3 linked regions of the Macaca fascicularis genome follow. The protein of the gene in region 2 interacts with the protein of the main gene of each other region in a biochemical or structural test. Links are inferred from orthologs where the notes say so. Each region holds a gene or a part of one and is shown on either strand. Other genes may lie near its edges.

The links.
Region 1: the proteins of H3-4 (region 2) and TAF3 form a complex in vitro, tested with the Homo sapiens proteins (2 studies listed by BioGRID, with this or other methods). The link is inferred for Macaca fascicularis from reciprocal best matches to the Homo sapiens genes H3-4 and TAF3.
Region 3: the proteins of H3-4 (region 2) and CBX1 interact in a test that uses a peptide from one of them, tested with the Homo sapiens proteins (3 studies listed by BioGRID). The link is inferred for Macaca fascicularis from reciprocal best matches to the Homo sapiens genes H3-4 and CBX1.

Annotation. Positions count from the first base shown.
Region 1 is NC_088383.1:8,691,229-8,694,875, reverse strand, and holds part of TAF3 (transcription initiation factor TFIID subunit 3), read right to left. Parts: intron 374-3,647; coding exon 131-373; intron 1-130. UniProt on the Homo sapiens protein: The TFIID basal transcription factor complex plays a major role in the initiation of RNA polymerase II (Pol II)-dependent transcription.
Region 2 is NC_088375.1:86,334,908-86,339,354, forward strand, and holds H3-4 (histone H3.1t), read right to left. Parts: upstream 2,849-4,447; 5' UTR 1,697-2,848; coding exon 1,286-1,696; 3' UTR 306-1,285; downstream 1-305. UniProt on the Homo sapiens protein: Core component of nucleosome. Nucleosomes wrap and compact DNA into chromatin, limiting DNA accessibility to the cellular machineries which require DNA as a template.
Region 3 is NC_088390.1:58,656,767-58,660,337, reverse strand, and holds part of CBX1 (chromobox protein homolog 1), read right to left. Parts: intron 3,313-3,571; coding exon 3,135-3,312; intron 2,577-3,134; exon of another isoform or gene 1,917-2,576; coding exon 1,822-1,916; exon of another isoform or gene 1,590-1,821; intron 908-1,589; exon of another isoform or gene 835-907; intron 1-834. UniProt on the Homo sapiens protein: Component of heterochromatin. Recognizes and binds histone H3 tails methylated at 'Lys-9', leading to epigenetic repression. Interaction with lamin B receptor (LBR) can contribute to the association of the heterochromatin with the inner nuclear membrane.

The DNA.
Region 1 (3,647 bases), on a different chromosome or scaffold from region 2:
ATTTGTAAATAACAGTACATGTTTCTATTGTGTTTCCAGAATGTATAAAGTTGGCATAGCATGGAAAGCTAAGAGGATCAAAAATCCATTAAAATAGTCCCTAACAAATGAAGAAGAAACACTCACAAACCTTCTTGAGAAGACACAATGGGTGGCAGGTAATCAGGAATGTATTCTTTTCTTTCCTCTGCATCTTTACTTCCAGGTTGAGGAAACTGAAGTACATTGTTCTTGCTAACGGGAAATGACGGAATTTGGTGTGGGAAGGTGACAGGTTCAATGTTGTGAATATAGTCTTCTAGTTCATGTAGACTAACCCCCATCAGCTGGAAAGCTTCACCAACATCATCCAAAACTGGGTCTGTTCGGCCATCTGAAACAAAGCCAAAAGCAAATCAAATTATTTGAAGAAATCCCGTGAATATATTTTTAAATATTAAAAAAGGTAGTAAGTAAATATGCAGCTCAGAATCAAACATTTTAACCTAGTTATTGGAAAGAATTTAATATTTTAAATAGAACATCACAGAATCATGTTTAAGCTGATTATTAAGGTCAAGCTTAAATATGATCAGACAACTAGCCAGAACACCACAGAAAAATCACACTCATGATCAGCTTATATATTATAGAACAAATTTCAAAGTAGTTTACAGATGATCAAAAGCATCTGCAACAGTGCCTGACACACAGAAAATGCCCCAGAAATAATAATAATAGTGTTTTGTCTTTTTTTTTTAGATGGCATCTTGGCTGGGCGCGGTGGCTCACACCTGTAATCCCAGCACTGAGAGGCTGAGGCGGGCAGATCACAAGGTCAGGAGTTCGAGACCAGCCTGGCCAACATGGTGAAACTGTCTCTACTAAAAATAAAAAAATTAGCCGGGCATGGTGGCGCACGCCTGTAATCCCAGCTACTCAGGGGGCTGAGGCAGGAGAACTGCTCGAACCTGGTAGGCGGAGGTTGCAGTGAGCCGAGATCACGGCACTACACTCTAGCCTGGGCAACAGAGCAAGATTCCGTTTCAGGGGGGAAAAAAAAAAAGGAGATGGCATCTTGCTTGTTGCCCAGGCTGGAGTGCCGTAGTATGATCACAGCTCCTTGCTGCCTCAAACTCCTAGGCTCAAGCAATCTTCCCCTCTCAGTCTCCCGAGTAGCTGGGACTATAAGCACATGCCACCATGCCTTGCTAGTTATTATTATTATTATTATTATTTTTTTTTTTGTAGAGATGAGTTCTTGCTATGTTGCTCAGGCTGGTTTTGAACTCCTGGCCTCAAGCAATCCTCCTGCTTCTGCCTCGCAAAGTGGTGGGATAACAGGAATGAGCCAATGTGCCTGGCCTTTTTTTTTTAAATCATCAAATAAGTAGTGTGCTGTGCTGACAAAATCAATGTTTGTTACATTTCCTCTGTTGTTCCCTGATGCATCTGCGGAATTTTAAACAGTGGCTGGAACTCAATAACAATAGCTGGCACTCAATAAATACCTACTGAATGAATTATACCATTAAGTGAATTTTTAAAATCTAAGAATATTTACAAAGAAGGCTCAGATCATAAAAGTTTGGTTTTTGTTTGTTTTTTGAGACAGGGTCTCACTCTGCTGCCCAGGCTGGAGTGCAGTAGGGCAATCATGGCTCACTACAACCTTAACTTCCCAGGCTCAAGCCGTCCTCCCACCTTAGCCTTCCGAGTAGCTGGGACTACCAGTGCACCACCACCATGCCCAGTCATAAAGGTAATTTACCTATAAAATTTCAAATGTAATTAGAAAACACAACATAAAACAGAGATAAAAAGATAAAAAGTTAGATATAGTGAGTTTTTTTCTTTACAAAAGCAAGTTTTTCTTATGCCTATCCTTAGCAGAGCTTAAGGTCTCTACATCTTTAAAAATGTCTATGAAAATTCCAGTTTCCGATTTTCAATAGCCTAAAGGATTTAACTGAAATCCTGACTTTTTAACTGAAATCTTGAAATTTGATCACTTCAAACTCAGTATGTCTGAAATTAAATCACCCTGTAAAATGAACAAGAATCCAAATCTTGCTAGAATTGGACGCATGTTAGGCCGGGCGCGGTGGCTCAAGCCTGTAATCCCAGCACTTTGGGAGGCCGAGACGGGCGGATCACAAGGTCAGGAGATCGAGACCATCCTGGCGAACACGGTGAAACCCCGTCTCTACTAAAGAAATACAAAAAACTAGCCGGGCGAGGTGGCGGGCGCCTGTAGTCCCAGCTACTCTGGAGGCTGAGGCCGGAGAATGGCGTGAACCCGGGAGGCGGAGCTTGCAGTGAGCTGAGATCCGGCCACTGCACTCCAGCCTGGGCTACAGAGCGAGAGACTCCGTCTCAAAAAAAAAAAAAAAAAAAAAAAAAAAAGAATTGGACGCATGTGTGGTAATGCATACAGAAACGTCTAGAAGGATATTCAGCCAATGGTTAACAGTTGAAGGGGATGGAAGCTGCAGTAGAGGGGAGGGCTGTGGTGGAAGCAGGAGACTGACTTTTAACTCTACATACTTCTGCAGTCTTTGATTTTTTTTTTCTATAAGCATGGGTTACTTCTAATGTATACTTCTAATGATGTATAAAAAAGAGAAAACAAATAAAACGAATACTCTTCTTACTGAACGTAAACAGGCATTTCAACTCTTCTATTCCTATTAAAGCTATTATTACTCTCTCAGTCTAAAAAATATAATCATCTTAAATTCCTCCATATGCTTTGCAGCCTCAAACCAAAACCTGGAACTGTTTCTAACCCTGTCCCCCTCCCCATCCCCGGGCACCTTTTTTTTTTTTTTTTAACCATGATTTCAGATTTTTTTCCTTTCTCTCTATTCTTACTCTCTATTCTTCCTATTCTCTCTATTCTCTCTATTCTTCCCTGTCTCAGTATAGTCTCAAGTTCTGCCCACTTCAATGTCTTGTGCACATCACTGTCAGTACAATTTTCTTAAAATACCACTTTAATCATATTGTCCCCCTACTTAGAAGTATGCAATGTTTTCTACTACATGTTTTAATTCTTTTGTCTAGTTTTTAAGTCCCTCCATAACCTGATTTCACTGTGTTGAACATTTTCCTCAGACACCCTTGGAATGAACTAGCTGCATAGGGAGCTGAACACCTTACTGGTACTTTTATTATGCTTAATCTCACCTGGACAGCTTAGTTTATGTGATTCTCTAACCCGGAATACTCTATACCTTTATACAACCATACTTCATAGCTCAACTCAAATCTTATCTTTTCTGTGAAGTTATCCTACCCCAGAATCCATAGCCTACAACCATCTCTCCTCTTACTCCTTTTACATTTACTCCCTGTACCATACAAAAAATATTATAGTACTAGTGTTGAAGAGTCAGTCTGAAAGATTTAGCACCTGCTTTCAGCGCATGCCAACACATTTAATATATAATGTGACACAGATAGAGACATCTGCCCTTGAATGCTTGGAGAAATTGTCACCCTAAGGCAATTCTGAAGTTCATTATTTGTTCATTATTTGAATTAATGGTAACTTCTAATACTTGCTTTGAGAACATTTATTTTAGAAGAAACAAACACCATCAGTTTGTTTTTGCTGACATTCTGGCACTCTTGAACACACCTTATGGGCAGGGATTGTATCTTAG
Region 2 (4,447 bases):
TGAATTAACAATGCACATGCCTGGCTGCGCTTCTCACACGCAACTAGCTAGTCATCTACCCTAACAGAAGATAGGGTGAATTAACAACATACATGACTAGCCAGCCTTTTAACTGAATGGGAGATTGGGTATGTTAACACATACAATGACGTGGACTTCTAACTGGAGATGGGCCAACATCACAGCTACATATGTGTGTGCACATGGGCACACGTGCACGTGCGCACATACACACACACACACCCCTAGCCAGCCTTCTAACCTAATGGGAGATAGCCCAAGTTAACAAGATATACAACTAGCCAGCTTTCTAAATTAACAGGAGGTAGGCTGAGTTAACACACACAAGTAGCTGGACTTTGTTTTTTTTTTTTTTTTTTTTGGTTTTGAGACTGAGTCTCGCTCTGTTGCCCATGCTGGAGTGCAGTGGCATGATCTTGGCTCACTGCAACGTCTGTCTCCTGGGTTCAAGCAGTTCTCCTGCCTCAGCCTCCCAAGTAGCTGGGATTACGGGCATGTGCCACCACACCTGGCTAATTTTTGTCTTTTTAGTAGAGATGGGGTTTCACCATGTTGGCCAGGCAGGTCTGGAACTCCTGACCTCAGGTGATCCACCCGCCTTGGCCTCCCAAAGTGCTGGGATTACAGACCTGAGCTGCCACGCTGGTGAAGTAGCTGGACTTCTAACTGAAAATAGGCCAAGATAACACATACTACTTGCTGGCCTTAACAGGCTGTCTAGGTAGGAGACTAGCTGGACTGGTAACCTCACTGGAAAGAAGCTGTGTGTACACACACACACACACACACGCAGGACTTGTAACAGTTTGAAAGAGGCTGAGCTGAGAACACACAAGACCAGCCAGCCTTCCAACCTAACTGTAGATAGGCTGAGTTGACACAACTAGCTGGGGTTGCTTACCTAACTGGAGATAGGCCAGTTACGCTACCCTCAACACCCCGTCCCCAAACAGACCAACCATGATTCTTATCTAAAGGGATAGACCAAGTTAGCACCACACACGACTAGCTGGACTTGTAACTGGAGACAGGCTGGGAGGTAACGCGCATGAGTAGCTGGCCTCCTAACTGGACAGGGTGAACACAGGATTCGCCAGCCTCCCACCCTAATCAGAATTAGGTAAGCCAGCACCGGCCAGCGGAAGGAACCCCCAAAACCCAAGAGCCTGGCTTGCTACAGCAACTCTTCCGACCAGGTGGGTGGCTCTTAAAAGAGCCTTTGGGGTGAACGTTGCGCAACCTCTCAGGTGGCGAGATGGCCCTCCTAGGCCCGCTCCCCACGGATACGGCGTGCCAGCTGGATGTCCTTGGGCATGATGGTGACCCGTTTGGCGTGGATGGCACACAGGTTGGTGTCCTCGAACAGCCCAACCAGGTAAGACTCGCACGCCTCCTGCAGCGCCATCACGGCCGAGCTCTGGAAGCGCAGGTCGGTCTTAAAGTCCTGAGCGATCTCGCGCACCAGCCGCTGGAAGGGCAGCTTGCGGATTAGCAGCTCAGTGGACTTCTGGTAGCGGCGGATCTCGCGAAGCGCCACTGTGCCAGGTCGGTAGCGGTGCGGCTTCTTCACGCCGCCAGTGGCGGGTGCGCTCTTGCGAGCCACCTTAGTGGCCAGCTGCTTGCGTGGCGCCTTGCCACCCGTCGACTTGCGCGCAGTCTGCTTGGTTCGGGCCATGAATTTGAAACTGTTGTCTCTGCCGTGTCCTCTGACCAGACCTCAGCTGATTGCCCGCTTTTATAGAGCTTGCCGCGTTTTCATTGGCTGGCCTCAGGTGGCGTGATGGCCCCCTACTCTCTGATTGGTCCACAGGGCACGCCACTCGGCCGCCTCTCCCTTATATTAGTGCTTGTTGGTCGTGGCCACCAGAGCTAGCACCAGCATTGTGAAGGGTTGATGCGGGTAGGCCACGGCGGTGGAGATCATCTCTCTCCAGCACAAGCTTCCTCGTGTCTCCTCAGCAATCCTCTTCTCCCTTCCTCATGACTTGGGTGGGAAGAGCCTTCCGAAAGCCAGCATGTGGCATTCCACTTTTTTTAAAAATTAATTTTTAAAAAATTTTTTGAGATGGAGTTTAACTCTTGTTGCCCAGGCTGGAGTGCAATGGCGCGATCTCTGCTCACTGCAACCTCTACCTCCCAGGTTCAAGCGATTCTTCTGCCTCAGCCTACCAAGTAACTGGGATTACAGGGATTACAGGTATCCACCACAAAGAGATGGGTTTTCACCATATTGGCCAGGCTGGTCTCAAACTCCTGACCTCAGGTGATCCACCTGCCTCGGCCTCCCAAAGTGCTGGGATTACAGGCATGAGCCACCAGGCCCAGCTGGCATTCCACTTTTTTTTTTTTTTTTTGAGACGGAGTCTCGCTCTGTTACCCAGGCTGGAGTGCAGTGGCGCAATCCCGGCTCACTGCAAGCTCCGCCTCCAGGGTTCAGGCAATTCTCCTGCCTCAGCCTCCCAAATAGCTGGGACTACAGGCGCCCACCACCACACCCGGCTAATTTTGTTTTGTATTTTTAGTAGAGACAGGGTTTCACCATGTTAGCCAGGATGATCTCGATCTCCTGACCTCGTGATCCACCTGCCTCAGCCTCCCAAAATGCTGGGATTACAGGCGTGAGCCACCGCGCCCAGCCGGCATTCCACTTTTACACAGTGATACAGCTCTGGGATCCAACCAGAGTTAAAGGAATCTTCCACTTTTTATGACCTGCAAAGAACTCCCTTTGCTGTATGGCTCAGATGAGCCTTAGGATGCTGAAGAAGGTAAAGATATGCCTTTCTGGCATATTAACTCTTTTGAGATAAAGGCACTTAAAAAAAAAAAAAAATAGAGGCAGGTGTAGGAAGATCATTCTGAGTTTCTTGTTGTTTCTTAAAGGCAAGAAATAGAATTCCCCTATGAAAGATGTTCTTATAGTAAAAGGAAGGGAACGTTCTTATCATCAAGGACCAGAAGGTGGAAGCTTCCAAATCTCCTCCAACTCTGAAGCTGAAATTTGATCCCTAAAGTTGGAGCCGGGGCTCAGTGGGAGGTGTGTGGGTCCTGGAGGTGTCACCCTCTGAATAGAGTCCTGCCCTCCTTTAGGGTGAGTTCTCACTCTGTTGGTTCCCTGAAGAGCTGGTTGTTGAAAAGAGCCTGGCACTCCCCTCCCCTCTCTTTCTGGCTTCCTCTCTTGTGCAGTCCTGTGACCTCTGCACACACATGGGTTCCCCTTCACCTTCCACCATAAGCAGAAGCAGCCAGAGGCCCTCACCAGAAGCAGAGGTGGGCCCTATACTTGCTTCCTTCCATTCTCCCTCCCTCCCTTCCTTTCTCTCTCCCTCCCTCCCTTCTTCGCTCCCTTTCTTCCTTCCTTCCTTTCCTTTCTTTTTATCTTCTTCCCTCCCCTCCCCTCCTCTCCTTCTTTTTTCAGTCTTGCTCTGTTGCCCAGGCCCCTCCTACCTCAGCCTCCCAAGTAGCTGGGACCACATCCAGCTAATTTTTAAATTTTTTGGAGAGATGGGCTGTCATTATGTTGACCAAGCTGGTCTTGAATTCCTGAGTTCAACTGATCCCCCGACTTTGGCCTCCCAAAGTGCTAGGATTACAGGCTTGAGCCACCATGCTGGGCCACCGTGCTTTTTTTGTTTTTTTGACCTGAGTCTCACCCTGTTGCCCAGGCTGGAGTGCAGTGGTGTGATCTCAGCCCACTGCAACGTCCGCCTCCCGGGAAGTTCAAGCAACTCTCCTGCCTCAGCCTCCCGAGTAGCTGGGATTACAGGTGTGAGCCACTGCACCCAGCCACCGTGCTTCTTGTACAGCCTGGGAAACCATAAGCCAATACCTTTTTTTTTTTTTTCCAATAAATCATCCAGTCTCAGGTATTCCTTTAACAACACAAAACAGACTAAGACAGAAGCCAAGAGAAATCTATACAAACAAACTTTATTAAACTAACCCTTATCTTCCTAGTTGTTGCCACAGTTACTACTCTTTGTTCAACCTAGTGTGTAAGCATTTTGACCTAGTCATTTCTTCACCCCATTGACTATCCTCACCCAAGCCCCGTGGCCTTATCAAATCTCACAACTTACTAGTGTTTGTCCACCTCTGTATATAAGTGACCCTAACTGCATCTTTGCATCTTCATTTCCTTATGAGGGCTCCTGTGTCACATTAAATTTGTATTAAATAACTGTATGTTTTTCTCCTGCTCATCTCTCTAATGTCAGTCTAATTCTTGGGCCCAGCCTGGACCCTAAGATAAGGGAGGTAGAATTCTGCCTCCCCTACAGCGCCCCTTGTTGATGCATGACAGGCCCACTGTCTTGGTCTGTTTTGCATTGCTGTAAAGGAATACCAGAGGCTGGGTTATTTATCAAAACATTTTTTAGCTTATGGTTCTGCAGGCTCTATAAGAAGCAAGGCTCCAGCATCTGCT
Region 3 (3,571 bases), on a different chromosome or scaffold from region 2:
CCCCAAAAACTATTGTCTTCAGGTTACTAGGCATGTCCTAGACAGAAGCAGTAGCATAAGGCAAGTAGGAGACACCTGATGAGATCTCTGACAAAGCACCACCCCAAATCTCCAAAACCTCAACAACAGGAAACCAGAGCCACACAGTCCCATGGAGCAGAAGAGTAAGCTGATAACCTATGTTTTTGAACAATGGACCCAAGAGAATGGGAGGGAAATGGGAATCTGAAGCATGCTGCCATTTGCTAACAGCTGAACAACACGCATTGAGTTAAATTCAGTCATTTCACTCCCTAGAAATATTTACTACTTTTGGAAATATACAGAAATCTCTATTCTCCAGTAAAATAACTTTTTAAAATGTACTTGGTCTTATAGTCAAATCCAGTTTTAACCTGTAGACAGCAGTGGGTCGGCCAGGTGCAGTGGTTCACCTGAAGTCAGGAGTTTGAGACCAGCCTGGCCAACACGGTGAAACCCCATCTCTACTAATAATACAAAAATCAGCCAGGCGTAGTAGTGCGTGCCTATAATCCCAGCTACTTGAGAGGCTGAGGCAGGAGAATCGTTGAACTCGGGGGGCGGAGGTTGCAGTGAGCTGTGATCGCTCCACTGCACTCCAGCCTGGGCGAAAGAGCGAGACTCTGTCTCAAAAAAAAAAAAAAGATAGTAGTAAGTCAACCAAAGGAGTGCAAATCTTAAGCAATATGGAGATACTACTGTAACTCACACTGGTCACATGCAGAAAAAGTATATTCTAGCTAGACTGAGTAACTCATGGTGTAACTTCTCCCACCCCTTAAGCAGCACCTTAAAAATGAACTTTTCTCCTATAGGTTAACAATAAATCAGCTAAAAGAGGGGCAGCTTCAGTAACCGCCTAAGGAATACATAGGAAGAGAATAAGGTAGGTAGTTGTGACTCTGGCTTTCAGTGGTGCTAAAGTTAGGCCCCTCCAGCCATACTGTAAAATATTAGTACAGACACAAGTTTCAGAGTAAGTTCTGGACTGACAAAAGGACAAAGCTCCACAGACATTGTATGTGTGTGTGTGTATTTTAAAGGACAAAGTTTGTAGAATGCTGCCTTCATTGGCAATGGCTTAGAATTATTCCTTCCTAAACTTTAAATACAATGATTGCTATCCACTTTGTGGGGAGAATGAGCAAGAAATAGGAAGAATGGCCTTCTTTTGACAGAGTAGGAAAATTACAGAGATTGCTGGGATAACTATCTTCATTAGGCTGTTTCATGGAGTGTTACTATCACTGGAATTTATACTCATAATGGAAAAAAGCAGGCTTGCTCTATGCTTAATAGCAGTTAAGGAGCCTTGCTGACCCCTGCTGGCTGATCCTGTAATTGTAGAATCTGCACAAATTGAAAAGGATCCAACAATTAAGGACAAAGGGAAGAACTACAAAATCTTTCCTAACCCTGAGAATTTAGCAGAGTTTCTGATTCTGGGGCCAGCCTCATCTTTATTAAGGAGGTGGTAGAAAGAGAGGGTGGTCCAATCACATTTCATTTTTTCCCCTTTTATTTACCGTAATGAAATGTAATTCCTTCCCACACTCTTTCCACTCTAGATTGTCTCCCACCTCCTAAAAATATGGGCAAAGACCTAAGATTCCTAAGGGCTCCTACCTGTAACTCATGAGTCCAGGTTGGCAGTCAGGCCGAGGGTCACTATCGAAGGACTATGCCATCTTAATTTCACACTTGGGTGATTGGAATTTCGAAGGTCCAGCTCTTTTCCTCTGGCATGAAACCAATGGGAGAAGAAAAAAAACAACCACACAAAGCCACTGGCCGACTCACCATTTCATCAGGAACATGAGCTCTCCACTGGAGTCTGTAGCTCCAATAATCCGCTCCGGCTCCAAACCTCGAGCAAAGCCTCGTGGCTTTTCTGACTGTAAAAACAAGATTGGTAGAACAATTTTATCTATATGGGACTATTATCTAGACTTGGAACTATTCCTGTGTCTCTGATTAATGTAATCATAAACTCTTCTCTTTTTTTTTTGAGACGGAATCTCTGTTGCCCAGGATGGAGTGCAGTGGTGCGATCTCAGCTCACTGCAGCCTCTGCCTCCTGGGTTCAAGTAATTCTCCTGCCTCAGCCTCCTGAGGAGCTGGGACCACAGGCGCATGCCACCACACCTGGCTAATTTTTTGTATTTTTAGTAGAGACGGGGATTCACCATTTAGTCAGGATGGTCTTAATCTCCTGACCTTGTGATTCGCCCGCCTCAGCCTCCCAAGGGGCTGGGATTATAGGTGTGAGCCACTGTGCCCAGCCCAAACACAAACTTTTTTGCCAATATTTCACCAATACCTTGGCTCAAAGTAAGAGAGCTGTTAGAATTCTTTGGAGTGATTATTCATCAATGTCTGAAGCGCATGAGATTTTCCCATATGTGAAAAGGGACATACAGCCCAAGCAAAATCAATGTTTACACCTATCTCTTCACTCTCAAAAAACAACTTACTTTAAGGTACGTACTGATTAAGTCAAAATAGCTACCTCACACCTTTAATGATTAAACATTGAAAACCGTTTTTTACAAGAATGAATTCACTTGCCCTTTTATCTGTCCCCAGCAAGTATCCCATTTACTGCTCCTGTACCATGGATAAAAAGTAAGAGACTGGCTGGGCGCAGTGGCTCAAGCCTGTAATCCCAGCACTTTGGGAGGCCGAGACAGGCGGATCATGAGGTCAGGAGATCGAGACCATCCTGGCGAACACGGTGAAACCCCGTCTCTACTAAAAAGTACAAAAAAACTAGCTGGGCGAGGTGGCGGGCGCCTGTAGTCCCAGCTACTCGGGAGGCTGAGGCAGGAGAATGGCGTAAACCCAGGAGGTGGAGCTTGCAGTGAGCTGAGATCCGGCCACTGCACTCCAGCCTGGGCGACAGAGCGAGACTCCGTCTCAAACAAACAAACAAACAAAAAAGTAAGAGATCATGTGGCTTCATGAGAGTACACTCTCACTTTGTAGGCATTAGCCTACCTAAGATGTCAGAACTAAGAAGAGATGGCTGCTAATATCTGGGAAGAAGTAAAACAAAACTACTTTGACAGTGGTTTGAATTGTGGGCCAGTAAAAATTCTTACTTCTATCCTTACCTCTTCTTTCTTCTTCTTTGGTTTGCTCTCCTCTCCCTTATCTTCAGAATCAGAATCAGCTTTGCGCTTGCCTCCCTCTGATTTATCTGTCTCATGTGCTGTTTTCTGTGACTGCAGAAACTCAGCAATGAGGTCGGGGCAATCCAGGTTTTCTTCTGGCTCCCATGTGTTGTCCTCACTGAAACCAGAGGGCACAGCAAGTCACACTTTCACTCAAAATAAGTATAATCATACTAAGGATAATCGTAAGAGGACAAGAGCTCAGACGTCCATGGAAAAGCTGAAATTTCTTGGGGAATGGGGAGGCTTTTTAGTATAAATAGAAAGCTAAGAAACTGGCTTCCTTCAAAGGCAAATGACTTTTATTTGTCAATTTAAATCGGTCTATAGCCACACACAATATTTCTCAGAAATCACTATGGGCTGGGTACAGTGGC